Lonchura striata: one gene and its partner. The protein of the gene in region 2 purifies or fractionates together with the protein of the main gene of each other region. This does not show direct contact. Links are inferred from orthologs where the notes say so. Each region holds a gene or a part of one and is shown on either strand. Other genes may lie near its edges.

Region 1 (7,704 bases), on a different chromosome or scaffold from region 2:
CGGGGGTGGTGCTGCGGGGAGGGGGGCAGGCACTTGCTGCCGAACTGGTGTGTACTGGGATTAACGGGACGCGGGGGGCTGCTGCCACCCTCCTCCCCTGCCTCAGTTTCCCTCACAGTTCTGGTCAGGCAGCACAGGCGGGTGTGGGGATCCCTGCTGTTGGCTCAGGGGTGTCTCATGTAGGGTGAGGACAAGAGGACCACACCCACCTGGGCAGCGGGTGCCACCCTCCAGCAGGACAGGCAGGAAGGGGGTGGGGGAGCCCAGGATGCAAACGGTCATGTCCAGCGGGCCATATCCTGCCAGGAAGGGAAGGGTTAACAGCCCCGGGATCGGGACCCTGGCACCCCAGTGTGGCTGGGAACCCCAAAACTCCTCGTGTCCCTAGCCTGGCACCATATCCCCATTGCCACCCTTATCCCTGCCACCCCATTATCCCAGCCTGGCACTGCGCCCACATCACTGTCCCTGCCACCCCCGTGTCCCAACCTGGCACTGCGCCCACATCGCTGTCCCTGCCAGCCCCGTGTCCCAGCCTGGCACCGAGCCCACATCACTGTCCCTGCCACCCCCGTGTCCCAGCCTGGCACCATTCCCCCATCCCCACCCCAGTCCCTGCCACCCCCGTGTCCCAGCCTGGCACCGTGCCCCCCGTGTCCCCAACCCGTGCGGGGCTCCGCGGAGCAGTCCAGCGTGGGGGGCAGCCCCTCCTGGCACAGGGCGCTCTGGAGCCGCTCGTAGGCGTGGGTGGCACAGTCGGGGTCCCCACTGTCCCCGGGCACTTCGCCATCGGGGGCTTCGTCCTCCAGCCAGCCTGGGCACAGCGCCTCGGGCCCTGCCCACTCCTGCTCCTCCGGGCTGGGCACCCGCTCCGTGCTCGGCTGGGACGTCGAGAGCTGCGGGAGCAGGGACAGGGCTGGCACGGGGCTGGCACGGGGGTAAGGGGGTGGTATGGGGCTGGCGTGGGGTTAAGGGGCTGGCACGGGTCTGGCACGGAGCTGGCACGGGGACAGACCCCGTGTGGGCACGGGGCGTACACGGGGGGGCTGACACAGGACACAGCGGGCGCCGCTGCCCACCCGTGGGGTGGGGGCGTCGGGGTGCTGGGGGGCTGCAGGCGCCGGGCACGGCGCCACCACCTCGGGGACAACGGGGCAGTGCCAGCCGCCGGGGCCGCCAGCTCCCGGACAAAGCGTCCCCTTGTCCCCGCGGGGTCACGCGGCGGGTGGGCACAGCACGCTGCGCTGCCCGCTGCCCCACGCCAGTGCCCGGCACCGCCGGGATCCCGGGATGGGGCATCCACCTCCGCCCGGACCCCCCCACCCGGGGGCCACTCACCATCCTGGTGACAGAGGGGCTGCAAGAGAAGGACAGGCAGAGTCAGCGCGGCTCCCTGGGGACTTGCCACCCCTCCCTGGCCGCCCCCGGCCGGTGCTGGGAGCCCCAAGCCCAGCTCCCGTGGAGAGACCTGTCCTGCAGCACCCACCAGAGCCTGGCACCCTTCCTGGGGCACACCTCGGTGCCAGCTCCGCTGTCTTCATGTTGTCCCCTCAGCGCTAGTCTCAGTGTCCCCGCACTGACCCCTCGGTGCCAGTCCCTGTGGCCCCAGCTCGTCCCCTCTTTGACAGGTCTGGTGGCCCCAGATTGACCCCTTGGTGCCAGTCACGGTGGCCTCAGGTTGTTCCCTCGGTGCCAGCCCCGGTGGCCCCGGCACCTCCGGCTTAGTGTAATCCCGTGCCAGCTCAGCACAGCCGGGGGCACCTCCCCATCCCGGGGGTGCCAAGGTGCCCTGGGGGTGCAGACCCAGGGACCGGTTGTCCCCACCCCCCTGGTGCCTTCGCTCCCAGCAGGTGCCCGGCAGAGCTGGGCACAGAGGGAAACTGAGGCACGGAGCTGAGCGGTGCCCGCTGGCAGCCAGGATATCCCCAAGCCTGGCACCCGGTGACAGCGTTAGGGGACACACGGCTCGGTGGCGTGGCACAAGGGCCCCCCAAAACCCAGTCACGGGGGTCCCTCAAGGTCCGCGCCCCCCCAGCCGCGGGACCGCGCTGTCCCCCTCCATCCCCAGCTGGGAGGTGCTGCTGCTGTCCCCAAGCTGGGACAGCTGTGTCGCCCGGTACCTTGGGGTGGGAGCCGTGGCCTGAGAGCTCGCAGGGGACGAGGGCTCGGGGACGCCTGGCACAGGGGACGCCGGCCGGTCTGGCCTTTAAACCCCCCCGCGCCACCCCGGGGTGCCAACCCCCGGCCCCGTGCCCCGGATTAGGCGACACAGAGCCTCATTGTCCCCTCTGCCACCTCGCGCCAGGCGCTGGCACCCCTGTCCGTGTCCCTGTCCCCGTCAGTAGCGAGCTGCCTCAGCGGGAGCCGGGGGGAGGATCAGCCTGGCCGGGCTCTCCTGTCCCCCTGTCCCGCGTCCCCTGGCTGGGCACGCCCCTCGTCCTCCCCCCCGCCCTGTCCCCCTGTCCCCAGCGTGGCGGAGCTGCCAGCACGCACGTCCCCCGGCTTAGTTCCAGCTGCCCGCGGCGTCACTGTCACTGTCACCGTCACGGCCACCGGCAGGCACGGGGCCACCAGCGCGGCTGCCGTGCTGCAGAGTCCTGCACGCGCTGTCACCCGCTGCCTGCCACCCGCGCCACCCCCTGCACCCTGCCACCCTCATTGTCACCTGAACTGTCACGTGCGCCCTGTCACACACAACCCACCACGCACCGTCACCTGCACCACCACCAGGGTCTTGTCACCCGCACCTGTCACACACCTCGTCACCCACACGGCGACACCGCACCATCGCCGGCACCTTGTCACCTGCATCTGTCACCCGCCACTTGTCACTCATATCACCTACCTGTCACCCGCACTGCCACCCAGACCCCATAACCCGCACCATGTCACCGCACCGTCACCTGCACCCTGTCACCCTCACCGTGTCGTGAACATCATCACCCACCTGTCACCTGCGCTGTCACCGGCACCGTGTCGCAGGTGTGCACACGCACCCCGACCCCCATCCCGCTGCTCCCGCCCCCCGGCACCGGCACCCCCAAGCCCACCCAGATCACCCCCGCTGCCTTCAGCACCCACCGGTGCCGGTGCCGGTGTCTGTCGGTGCCGGTCTGTCCTGGTGTTGTCGCACCCGGCAGTGGAGCGGCTCTGCTCGCTCCGGTCCCGGCGGTGTCGGGGTCTGGTGGGGTTTCCCGGTGTCGGTCCCGGTGCTGTCGCAGCCCCAGCAGCGGCTCTGCCCGCTCCGGTCCCGGCGGTGGCGGCGGTGCCGTGTCCTGCTCGGGCGGGGCGGGGCGGGGCGGGACCGGGGGCACCGGGGGGACCGGGACACCGAAGGGGGTGGCAGAACAAAGGGGGCAGCGGAGGTGAGGGTGGCGGAACCGGGGTGCCACCGCTGGGAGACGGGGACAAGGGACTCGGGTAGGGAGTGGGACAAGGGACGGGGATAGGGACGGGGGTAGGGGACAAGCGTCCGGAGGCAGGGACGGGGCCAGCCCGGGGTCACCCGGGGCCGGGTGTAAAACTGACACCGCGAAGCAGAAATGTCAGGGCAGGTCCCGGGAGCTATTCGCGACCTCCCCGCACGACATGGAATGGGACGCGGGGAATGGCATGGCGTGGCACGGCGTGGCACCCTGGGAATGGCACCCAGGGAATGGCACGGCGTGGCAAGGCATGGCACAGCCAGTGTGGACAAGGGACAGCCATGACCCCATCCCTGCCACTGCCACCGTCCACGAGCGGTGGCACAAATGTGTCACCCTCCCCCGTGTCCCCGGTGGGGACACGCCCTTCGGGGTGTCCCCGGGGACCTCAGCGTGGCGACAATCTCCCGGCAACCGCCCGGTGCTGCTCCCGACGGTGTCCCCAGAGTCCCCGGGTGGGGATATCCCTGGGCTCTACCAAGCATCCTGTCCCCTCGTGTCCTCCCGGGTCCCCAGGCTGTCCCTGCGCGCCCAGGACCGGGATACAGATCCTCGGTTCCCTCTGTGTCCCCTCCTGTCCCTCGCAGTCCCGGGAACCTCTGTCTATCCTGAGGCTGTTCCCCTCCCACTCCCTCCCTATCCCTGTGCCCCCAGGCCAGGATACGAGTCCATGTCCCCCGTGTCCCCTTGCCCGAGCTCTATCCCTTGCCCGGCGTGTCCGCCTGCCCGGGTTGTAGAGAACAACGCAGGATGTCGCCTTTCCCAGGATGTCCCCTTTCCCAGGACGTCCTCCGCTCCAGGGAAGTCCTTCAGCCCGGCACGTTCTCCTTTCCAGCGAAGGCTCTCTGCCCGCGGTGTCCCCCTTGCCCGGGAATATCCCGTTGCCGCGGTGTCCCCTTTCCCAGGACATGTCCCTCTGCCAGGGGTGTCCCTCTGCCCGGGGTGTCACGTTTTCCCTGCTCGGAATGTCCCCCTGCGGAGCGTGTCCCCGTGCCCCTGCGCCCCCGCCGCGGCTCGCTGCTGCCGGTGTCCCGCGGCTCGCTGCTGCCGGTGTCCCGCGGCTCGCTGCTGCCGGTGTCCCCGCGGCTCGCTGTTGCCGGTGTCCCGCGGCTCGCTGCTGCCCGTGTCCCCGCCGCGCCGTCCCCGTTTCCCCCGGGGCACCGGGGCCGGCCGGGCTGCAGCGACTCCTCCGGGCCGGCAGGGGGCGGGCGCGCGGCGGGGCCGCTGCGGGCGGGCGCGCGAGGCGGGGCGGCGCGCGGGCGGCCATGGCGGACACCGAGAAGCTCAACCTCGACTCCATCATCAGCCGCCTCCTGGAGGGTGAGCGGGCCCCCGCCGCCCCCCCGAGCGCCGGGACGCCCTCCCTCCGCTCCCGGAACCTCTCGCGGCCGGCTCGGGCCGCGTCCCAACGCCGCGGGGGGAGTCCCCGGCCCGGGCCTGGCGGGGGCGGGTTAGGCCGCGGTGGTTCGGGGGGGGGTCAGGGCTGGGAAAGGTTTTGGGGGGTTCCCATGGGGCCTGGGCAGCCGGAGATGAGTCCGGGGGATGTGGGGGATATGAGGCGGGATACCGAATGGGTTTGTGCCCCGCGGGAGGGGGCTGGGGGAAATGGGGGGTTCCCAAAGGGTCTGTGCCCCGCGGAGGGGCACTGGGGGGCCCCGAAGGGTCTGGGGGCTGGAGCTGAGCCTGCAGGGCGTGGGGGATACGGGCAGGGAGGGCTGGGGCAGCTGGAGAAGGGGTTCCCGGGGTGCTGTAGGTGTCCCCGAGCCCTTGGAGATCCCTGATCCTGTTCTCTGTGCTGGGAGCAGTCCAAGGATCGCGGCCGGGGAAAAACGTGCAGCTGACAGAGAACGAGATCCGCGGGCTGTGCCTCAAATCCCGGGAGATCTTCCTGAGCCAGCCCATCCTGCTGGAGCTGGAGGCACCCCTCAAGATCTGCGGTGAGGCCTGCACGGCTGCTGGGCAGCACTGGGCTGGTGCGGGGGGCTGCAGGGTGCCACTCACAGCCTGTGTCCCCCCTCCAGGTGACATCCACGGGCAGTACTACGACCTCCTGAGGCTCTTTGAGTACGGGGGCTTCCCCCCTGAGAGCAATTACCTATTTTTGGGCGACTACGTGGACCGGGGCAAGCAGTCCCTGGAGACCATCTGCCTGCTGCTTGCCTATAAAATCAAGTACCCCGAGAACTTCTTCCTGCTGCGGGGCAACCACGAGTGTGCCAGCATCAACCGCATCTATGGCTTCTATGATGAGTGTGAGTGCCCGGGCTGTGCCCCCCAAAACCCCACTGCCATCCCTGGGCTCCCCCTTTCCCGGTGTCATCCCAGTGCTGTCCCACACTGACCCCACCTGTGACCTCCTTCCCTCCCCACCATGTCTTCCTGCCCTTCCTCGGTGTCCTCCTGCCCACCCCCAGGCTGTCCCCTGGGTCACCTCCAAGCCCCCTTTGTGCCCCGCAGGCAAGCGAAGATACAACATCAAGCTCTGGAAGACCTTCACCGACTGCTTCAATTGTTTGCCCATTGCTGCCATCGTGGATGAGAAGATCTTCTGCTGCCACGGAGGTGGGAATGGCCCTTCCCAGGGGCTTGGGAGGGCTGGAGGAGGGTTGGGGTCTCCTTGCTGAGCTCTGGGGTGCCCCTTTCCCGCAGGGCTGTCCCCAGACCTGCAGTCGATGGAGCAGATCCGGCGGATCATGCGGCCCACGGATGTCCCGGATCAGGGGCTGCTCTGTGACCTGCTCTGGTCCGACCCCGACAAGGACGTGCAGGGCTGGGGGGAGAACGACCGTGGGGTCTCCTTCACTTTCGGGGCCGAGGTGGTGGCCAAATTCCTGCACAAGCATGACCTGGATCTCATCTGCCGGGCGCACCAGGTACCACCGGGACCCCCAGACACTGGGGACATGGGGGTTTGGGTCTCCAGTGGGTGTCAGGTGGTTCTACCCCGAGTGTTTCCCCTTCAAGGGCAGTGTGCACCCCAGGAGTGTGTGGGTTGGAATTCTGGGGGTGTTTGTCCTGGGATTTGGGTATTTGCCTCAGCATTTGGGTGTTTGCTCTGATGTCAAACTATTTGCCCAGGGGGGATGAATAGTCACCCTGGGATGTGGCTGTTCCTCCCAGAGGCTGGATAATCGCTCTGGAGATGGATATTTGCCCTGGGGCAGTGGGTGTTTGTCCCAGTGCTGGCTGTTTGCTGCGGGGAAGGGAGCATTCACCTTGCTAGAGAGGGCTGGATTTCAGCCTGGGGGACTGGGAATACTGGGATAGTGGCCATGGGGGGTGGATTTTTGCCAACCCCGTGCCCCCCCCCAGGTGGTGGAGGATGGCTACGAGTTCTTCGCCAAGCGCCAGCTCGTCACCCTCTTCTCGGCCCCCAACTACTGCGGCGAGTTCGACAACGCCGGCGCCATGATGAGCGTGGATGAGACCCTCATGTGCTCTTTCCAGGTGAGCCCAGGGAGGGGAAACACCCCCAGTTCCTGCCGGGAGGGCTGCAGGGAGTTCTGCCCTCCAGGGCAGTGGAGAGCCGGGGTGGGAGCTCACTGATTTCTTTCCCCCTTCCCCCGCAGATTTTGAAGCCGGCCGACAAGAACAAAGGCAAATACGGGCAGTTCAGCGGGCTGAACCCCGCCGGACGGCCCGTCACCCCTCCCCGAAACTCTGCCAAAGCCAAGAAATGAGCTGGGAGCCGCCCCTGTGCTGCCCACGCCCCGCAGCCCCCCGCCCAAGCATCAGGTCGCTTTTCTTTCGACTCGTTTTTTTATTTGTAGGATCCTGCCCCCCTCCCGCCACGCTCCACCAAAGCAAATCCAGGCCCAGGGCAGGTAGAGCTGGGGCGAGGGGGGAGCCCAGAGCCCAGCCCTGGGGTGGCAGCAGAGGGGGGGGGCAGGAGGCTTTTTTGAGGAATAAACTTGTAATGGGTCACTGGGGGGTGCCTGTCCTGGTGGTTGGATGGAGGCTGGGGCTGGCAGTGACTCGGGGCTCAGCTTTCTCCATCGCTGTCCTCCGCCAGCACCTCCTGGGTGGTGGCCGGGCCAGGCCTCCCTGGTGTCATCACCGAGCCAAAAAACAGGGAGCGAAACTGTGGAGAAAAATGGAGGGTTCAGGAGGAGGCTCTGCCCACCCCCTGCCCCCAGGCACACCCATCCCTCACCCTTTTGTGCGGGGGGGTCCCTGGCACAGCTCCTTCCTCCTCCTCCTCCTCCTCCTCCTCCTCCTCCTCCTCAGGTTTGCTCTTGGCTGGCCGGGGGATGTGCAGGGAGAAGGTGGGGCTGGGGGG
Region 2 (6,976 bases):
GCTTCAAGGTCCCTTCCAGATCAAACCATTCCATATTCTCTGATGTACCAACAGCACACTGGACCAGCAGAGCACTGGGGAGTGCTGGATGATGATGAGCAAACCGAGTTCCCCAGCCATCCTTCACCCAGGGAAGTCAAGGGATGGATGGAAAGCAAAGCTGACAGCTGTGCAAGTAGACATTGAGAAGGGCAGCATGGTCTCTTTCCCAAAGAAAGTAATTTCTCAACTCAACTCCAGTAATAAGGACTAAAAATAGGCCCCCAGAAGAGCTGAGCTGCACTTTCATTCTGTTTCACTCCCAGATGTGAATTAGTCTCATATCAGCATATATATTTACCATATGAGGAAATCCTGTTTGAACAACTTCAGCTTGTGAATGTTTTTGCCTCCCTAATAAACCACAAGATTAAGCATCACTGCAATGGCAGTATTCCCTCTCCCAGTGATATCCTCTGATTTGATTATTTTGGGAATTTGCCGTTTAAGATAACATTTAGTTAAGCTCACACACTTGGCTTGCCTAATAAAACACAGACTCTACAAAACAGCTGAAGTTGGTGTTTCTCAAAAGGAACAAGGTGCAAAGGACTTGCTGTGGGTACTGAAAACGTCCCCACACCTCCACAGCACATTTTGGAGGTCCAAGAGGGATACAGCCAGGTTAGAGATGGGTTCTGATTCCAGACAAACAACTCCTATCCTGAAAATCTTAGTGGACCCTGAGCAGCACACGAGGTGCGTGTTGGTGTCACTGTCACATCACACACCTTGGGCTGTGCTTCACTGCTCCATATCTGCCTCACAAATCCTAGATGGATGATGCACAGCCAGCACTACACTAGACAGCCTGAATTTATGGATGATTAAATCATAAATTTTGTTAAAATTGTCCTCCTTTTTCTCAAGAGTTGCATAGCAGAAGAAATCCTTGCTAACACGATCAGGCCAGTTTACATAACCTGGAAATGAAGGGTTTTATTTTTACAAAGAGTAACTGGATTCCATCCATTCACAACCCACAATTCCAGAAATCTCAGCAGATCCACTCTCCCAAGTCCTGCTTTGCCCTGAACAGAGCATTCCATTTATTTTTAGCACAGGAGACACCATCCATCCAGGCAGTTTTCAAGCTTCATGTGTTGCCCTGCCCTGTTTCCCTGAGCACCTGACTGAAATGTGGGCACAGCTCCGAGCTCTCCGAGGAGACCAAGGTTCCCAGCTCTGCTCTACACAGACATTGGTAGCCCTGTGGTACCATGAAGGTGTCTCACCCAATATCCTGCACCATACCAACTGCTCCCTTCAATGAAAGGGCCATTCCACCCTTTCAACGCTCCACTTCTGGTCTCAGACCATTAAAAGTAAAGATCCTGCAAGCACCCTACACGCTGGGTTTGCACATGAGTTGAAACTGGAGGCTGCAGGTTCATCCCTGAAGTCCACTCAACATTGGAAACCAGCACATAGTGTTGGAAGTTCTGATCCAATTTCTCCTATGCCCAGTGGTTTGCACAACTAAACATGAAAAAAAACAGAAAGCAGCAAAACCCGGTAACAGTCAGGAAATTTCCAAAGGATTTGTGCTGTACCTCCTCCAAACTACTGACACAGTTACATTTAAACCCTGACTGGATTTTCCTAACAGCACGTTTTATATCCCATTCAAAGAAGTTGGTACCACTGTTGTTACTTTCCATGAAGCCTCCTTGTTTTCTTTGAACTCTTTTCCTGTGACAATTTTTGCAGTGGCATAAGTTAGGACAGTTTGTTGGAATCCCAGTTTGAGACTCTACAGTCAGGTCTTGCACACACAGATTTCAGTGTGTTACAATTAGGTACACAGCTGGAATAAGATGCTCCATCCTGCCAGGACTCAGGTATGGCACCTGCTCTTGTTTGAACCAATAAGGAACAGAACTTTGGTCATAACTGTTCTTCACCTTTCACCTCACATTAAAGATCTTTATCCTGCATGATACAGGTGGCTCCAGCTCCAGAGAAAAAACATAAGGCATCGCCTCTGAAATTCCTATGGATGACGGCAAGAAGTAAAGGATTACACTCGTGTGGTTAAACAGACTTCACACTGCTGTAGAGCCAGGCTCTGGGTTGATCTTTTATGAACTAAACACATTCAAACATTGTTGAATTGTCATGTTGGAAAGCCTGAATCAGAAATCCCCAACAGCACAAAGTGATGTGATTCCCTACAAGTGACTCCATGGCTGAGGAGGCTCGGGAAGAGCCCCGGCCAGCAGGCAGGGAGCGGAGCAGGGCCTGGGCCCGCAGCTGGAGCGGCTCCCTTTGCACAGCACCAAAGTGGCACCGAAAGGGTTTGTGCCCCGGGCCAATCCGTTCGGGAAACACAGCGGGACGGAGATTATTCCACACGGCTGAGGCAAGTGGGGCTGGTCCGTGGGAAAGGCAAGTTCCCGGGCGTGCGGAGCAGCACCAGGGCTGCAGCAGCCGCTGCTCGGGCAGTGCCCGGCTCTCGGTGCCCCGCAGCGCTCCCGGTACCGCACGGGGGGAACAGCCGGCCTTCCTGCGGGGAGCCACGGCCGCCGGGCCCGCCGGGCAGCGCCCCCGGTACCGCTCCCCGCCGAAGCGGAACCGTTCCCTGGGTAATTCCACATCATTCCCTCTGCGAGCACCGCCCGGGACCGGCACCGGAGAGCTGGCAGTGACCGGGCAGCGGAGCCCCGGGGAGCCCCCCGCCCCCGGGCCCTGCGGTGCGCCGGGCAGAGCCTCCGCTAGCCTTAGCCCCCCCGCAGCAGCGCCCTCAGGCCGGGCCAGCCCTCCCCGCGTCCCGGCAGCACCGCCTGGGCCGCCCCTCCCTCCGTCCCCGCCGCCCGGGGGAGGCCGGGCGAGGCCCCCCGGTGCGAGGGGGCGGTGTGGGCGCGGGGGCTGCTGCGGGGGGGCCGTGCGGAAGGGCGGGGGCCGCGGCGGGGGCGCGGGGCCGGCCCGCTCTCACCATGTCGGCTGGGCGGGTGCGCGGGGCGGTAGAACGGCGGCGCCTCCCGGTCCGTCCCTGTCGCTTCGACGCCGCGGCCCGTCCGCTTCCGCCGCCGCCCGGCAGTGAACATCCGGGTCAGCGCCGCCGGCCCCGCCCCGCGCCGCTCCCCGCCAATCAGCGCGCGGCTCGCCGGCCATCGCCAAGTATGGATGCGCGGCGGCGGGGCGGGGGGGCGGGGCGGAGCGAACCACGCCACCGGCGCGGGGGGGACGGCGCGCACGGCGGCACCAACTGCGGCGCGGGGGTGAGCGCGGCGGCCAATCAGAGCGCGGGGGCCGGCCCGGGGCGGGGCCTGCGGGGGGCGCGCCCGCAGCGCGGGGCCGGCCCTCAGTCGGTCCCGGAGCCTCCGCGCGGGAACGTCGCTCCCTCGAGCGCCTTTAAACGCACTTGTTTTAGCTTTAAACGAAAGGCAGCACGAGGCAGGCGGGTAGCACGGCAGACGCCGCCCAGAAGAGGTAACGAGTAGCAAACTCGTAAAGCTGGGTTTTGCAAAGGTAAACTGCACTTTATGCATGCCTGTAAGGTACCAGGTCTAAAGTGATGTGGAAGAAGAAGCAGCCTCCAGCTGCTTAAGGCCAGGGATAATTATTAATTATTTATTATTTTAAAAGTAATCGTGAATTATTTTGAAAAGGAAGTGTTGGTGTTGGGAGGTACCTGCTGGAAGCCGTGCAGATGCTGACACACTGGAGGCCTTCAGGGCTCAGGCACTTGTGCCAGGGATAACGGGATCACAGAAAATCAGGGTATATCTACTAATAAAGCATTCCTGTTATACTCAGACTGTCTCAAAATAAAGCATTTGTTCCTTTTACTGGAGTAATTCCCATTGCAGGGATTTCAGGTAAGACATCCCAATTCCAGACTCCTGGCCTGTCCTCAATACGGGAATCTCAGAGCTACAGCAGACAATGATCCCAGGAAAATGTAAGGATTCGTTAGCACCAACAGCTTCCTCTGCAGCTTTTTATGGAATAGGTCAGGCCTTGTTTCACCCCAGTTTTATTACCAAGACCCCAAAAAACCTCCATTGGGACTCTGTACTGCAGACTTGGCCCTGGGGAGCCAAAAGCCTTTCCCTGGGTTTGCTGTAGGAGCTGGAAATGCCAACATGGGGTGAAAAAAGGGCTTTTTCCTTGGATGTCACAGACACAACAGTCACACAGGGCTTGTACCATGGATGTCACAGACTCTGCAGTCACGCAGGGCTTTTCCTGTGGATGTCACAGACAGCAGTCACACAAGGCTTTCCCTTGGATGTCACAGAGCTGTCACACAGGGCTTGTCCCGTGGATGTCACAGAGCTGTCACACAGGGCTTGTCCTGTGGATGTCACAGACTCTGCAGTCACACAGGGCTTGTCCTGTGGATGTCACAGACAGAGCAGTCACACAGGGTTTTCCCTTGGATGTCACAGAGCTGTCACACAGGGCTTGTCCCGTGGATGTCACAGACAGCAGTCACACAGGGCTTTTCCTGTGGATGTCACAGACACAGCAGTCACACAAGGCTTTCCCTTGGATGTCACAGAGCAGTCACACAGGGCTTGTCCTGTGGATGTCACAGACACAGCAGTCACACAGGGCTTGTCCTGTGGATGTCACAGACACAACAGTCACACAGGGCTTGTCCCGTGGATGTCACAGACACAACAGTCACACAGGGCTTGTCCTGTGGATGTCACAGACTCTGCAGTCACACAGGGCTTGTCCTGTGGATGTCACAGACAACCCCAATTTCCAGGGCAGTGAACAGCTTGGACGTGGATCGGGTTACAATAGCCAGAGACAAGACTGCACTACATGAATTTGCACCACAATGGAGCCCGTGCAGACAGAACAGCTCTCAGCGGTGGCAGAAACAAAATGAACCCGGAAGGGTGGAGAGAAAACAGTAGAACGATGTCAGGAGAAACAGGAACTGTATTCGTCCACAGAAACACAAAACCACATAAAACTCCATCAAGAGACAGTACCAAACAAACCCAAAGGTGGGAAATTACCCTTCCACATTTGGGAGAGAAGCCACATGACCTCAGAAGGCTCAAGAGACTCCAAATTCAGTTCTTTGCCACTATTCCTCAGCCTAACCTCCTTCAATCCGCTTTGTCAGATGGAGCAATCCCAAATGGCTCCTATTTTGCAGTTCCCAGATCCTCCTCCAGTCCTTGCATTTCCTCCCAGCTGCCTCCCAGCAGTAATTAAGAAAAGCAAACCTGTTCATTACAATGGCCAAATGATTCCATTTTTGTCCAGGGATCCACACATCTAATGCTCCTCAGGGCTGGGAGGCCAGAACTGATAAATTTGAAAATGTCTGTTCTAAAATTCCCTCTTTCTGTCACAAAATTCATGCAAAGTACTCAATGACAATTCTACTTGTAGCAGCTTTTAGTTTTGAACAGAAACAGCTCCTAGCTGCTTGCTGGAGCAGCACAGCAATAGCAGAATTAGGCAGCCCAGTATATTTCAAACAATTTGAGCTCTAAATGAATGTTGAGGCCAAGAGGATGTTTTTCTTAGCGGAAGAAATACAAGCATCCTGGATTTTGTTCTCCTGCAAATAGGTATAAAGAAGAATAAACAGCTGCTTTTTGTTTTCCCAAAAATATTTGCATTAAGAAGATCTGCAGATTCATTTTGAAATTGATGTCACATCTTTTTTCAAATGAGGACCAGCTGTTTGCTTTGGTTGTTTATAGCAGGCCATGTTTCAGGGATTTTTTGCTGTTTGTTTATTAAGATGTAGGACCAGACTGCTGCAGTTTGGTGTGGAGAGTGGATCCCAGCAGGCAGAAAGTCCATGAATGTCACCACCATCCCACTTGTGTTGGGATTTGTGGAGGGGTTGACACCAAATGCAGCAAAATCAGGGATATTCCATAATCCAAGTGCTGTGAGGTAGGTTCCCTGTGCCTCAGGCATTTCCCAAACCTGCAGGAATGGATCACCCACCTACAGGAAAGAACACTCCAAAGGGCTCGTGGCAGGAATAACCCCTCTCTAAAACAAGCATCTATAAACAAAGGAAGCAAACAATGATGTCAGTTGACATCTTAAGGGCCCAACAACATCAGATTCATGTGCAATTAATAACGAGTCTTTTGATCCTGCAATCAGCAGCTCTAAAATCCATGTGCTTTCCCTGTACATTTGATTACATTCGAGGAAGCAAAAGGATAAACACTTATTAGCATTACAAAGTACTTTTCACATTCAGCCAGAACTTCCTGAAGCATTTGTGATCCAGCACGATGTGGTTTTTATTTTATCCTCCTGCATGCGTGGTGAAACGCTATTTATTTGTTTATTCCAGCATTTATCCAGGACCAAGGGTGACTGTGAGAACATGCTGAGGAACAATGTCTGAGAGAAAACCTTCATGCTTCACTGAATAGTCATTTTTTGTCATAAAGAAAGAAACATCTTGATTTTTTTTTTTTTTTTTTTTTTTTTGTCAGATTGCCCATTTTCTTTCATGGCACTTGAAAGATATGTAAACTTTTATTGGGAGTTCTCATAAATTGAATTTATTGCTGCAAGAGTCTTCCAGCAATGGTAAAGTTTAGCTTGCTGGGTTTTATTAGTCAGAGTCAGTAAAACAGCAGCATCACTTGGTCTGAGGCTGAAAACCGAGTGTTTCTTGGAAACTAATATAGGAAAAAGGTACCTACAACACTACCCAATGTCTTGGAATTCTATGTTCAAACCACAGATAGTTCTCACTATGGAGATCTTGGTACACAGTGTCAAAATAGTACACAAACAATAAAAAGTCCCCATCCTGAATCCAAAGCAGCTTTGCTGAGTGTATTCTTGGAATTTAAAAATTTTTAGAGTTTCCCCATTTCCTGCATGAACTGATGAGTAATTCCAAATACCACGTTTAATGAAAAACAACATATCGCCCATTTAGTGTGAGGTTTGAGGCATTCCCCTCCCTGCACTAAGAATGTTGGAC

Evidence for each region. The genes of interacting proteins can lie anywhere in the genome.
Region 1: the proteins of CAPZB (region 2) and PPP1CA purify together in Homo sapiens (affinity purification with mass spectrometry; 3 studies listed by BioGRID and IntAct, with this or other methods). This does not show direct contact. The link is inferred for Lonchura striata from reciprocal best matches to the Homo sapiens genes CAPZB and PPP1CA.

The regions. Positions count from the first base shown.
Region 1 is NC_134608.1:53,829,272-53,836,975, forward strand, and holds PPP1CA (serine/threonine-protein phosphatase PP1-alpha catalytic subunit), read left to right. Parts: upstream 1-4,690; coding exon 4,691-4,745; intron 4,746-5,230; coding exon 5,231-5,362; intron 5,363-5,446; coding exon 5,447-5,677; intron 5,678-5,882; coding exon 5,883-5,987; intron 5,988-6,074; coding exon 6,075-6,298; intron 6,299-6,737; coding exon 6,738-6,872; intron 6,873-6,994; coding exon 6,995-7,105; 3' UTR 7,106-7,176; downstream 7,177-7,704. Other genes in the region: CARNS1 (carnosine synthase 1), read right to left, coding at 210-299, 665-927, 1,080-1,357, 2,494-2,587, 2,748-2,841, 2,948-3,394, 4,587-4,692; cell cycle checkpoint control protein RAD9A, read right to left, coding at 7,408-7,506, 7,579-7,704. UniProt on the Homo sapiens protein: Protein phosphatase that associates with over 200 regulatory proteins to form highly specific holoenzymes which dephosphorylate hundreds of biological targets.
Region 2 is NC_134626.1:7,422,547-7,429,522, forward strand, and holds the start of CAPZB (F-actin-capping protein subunit beta), read right to left. Parts: upstream 3,092-6,976; 5' UTR 2,978-3,091; coding exon 2,975-2,977; intron 1-2,974. UniProt on the Homo sapiens protein: F-actin-capping proteins bind in a Ca(2+)-independent manner to the fast growing ends of actin filaments (barbed end) thereby blocking the exchange of subunits at these ends.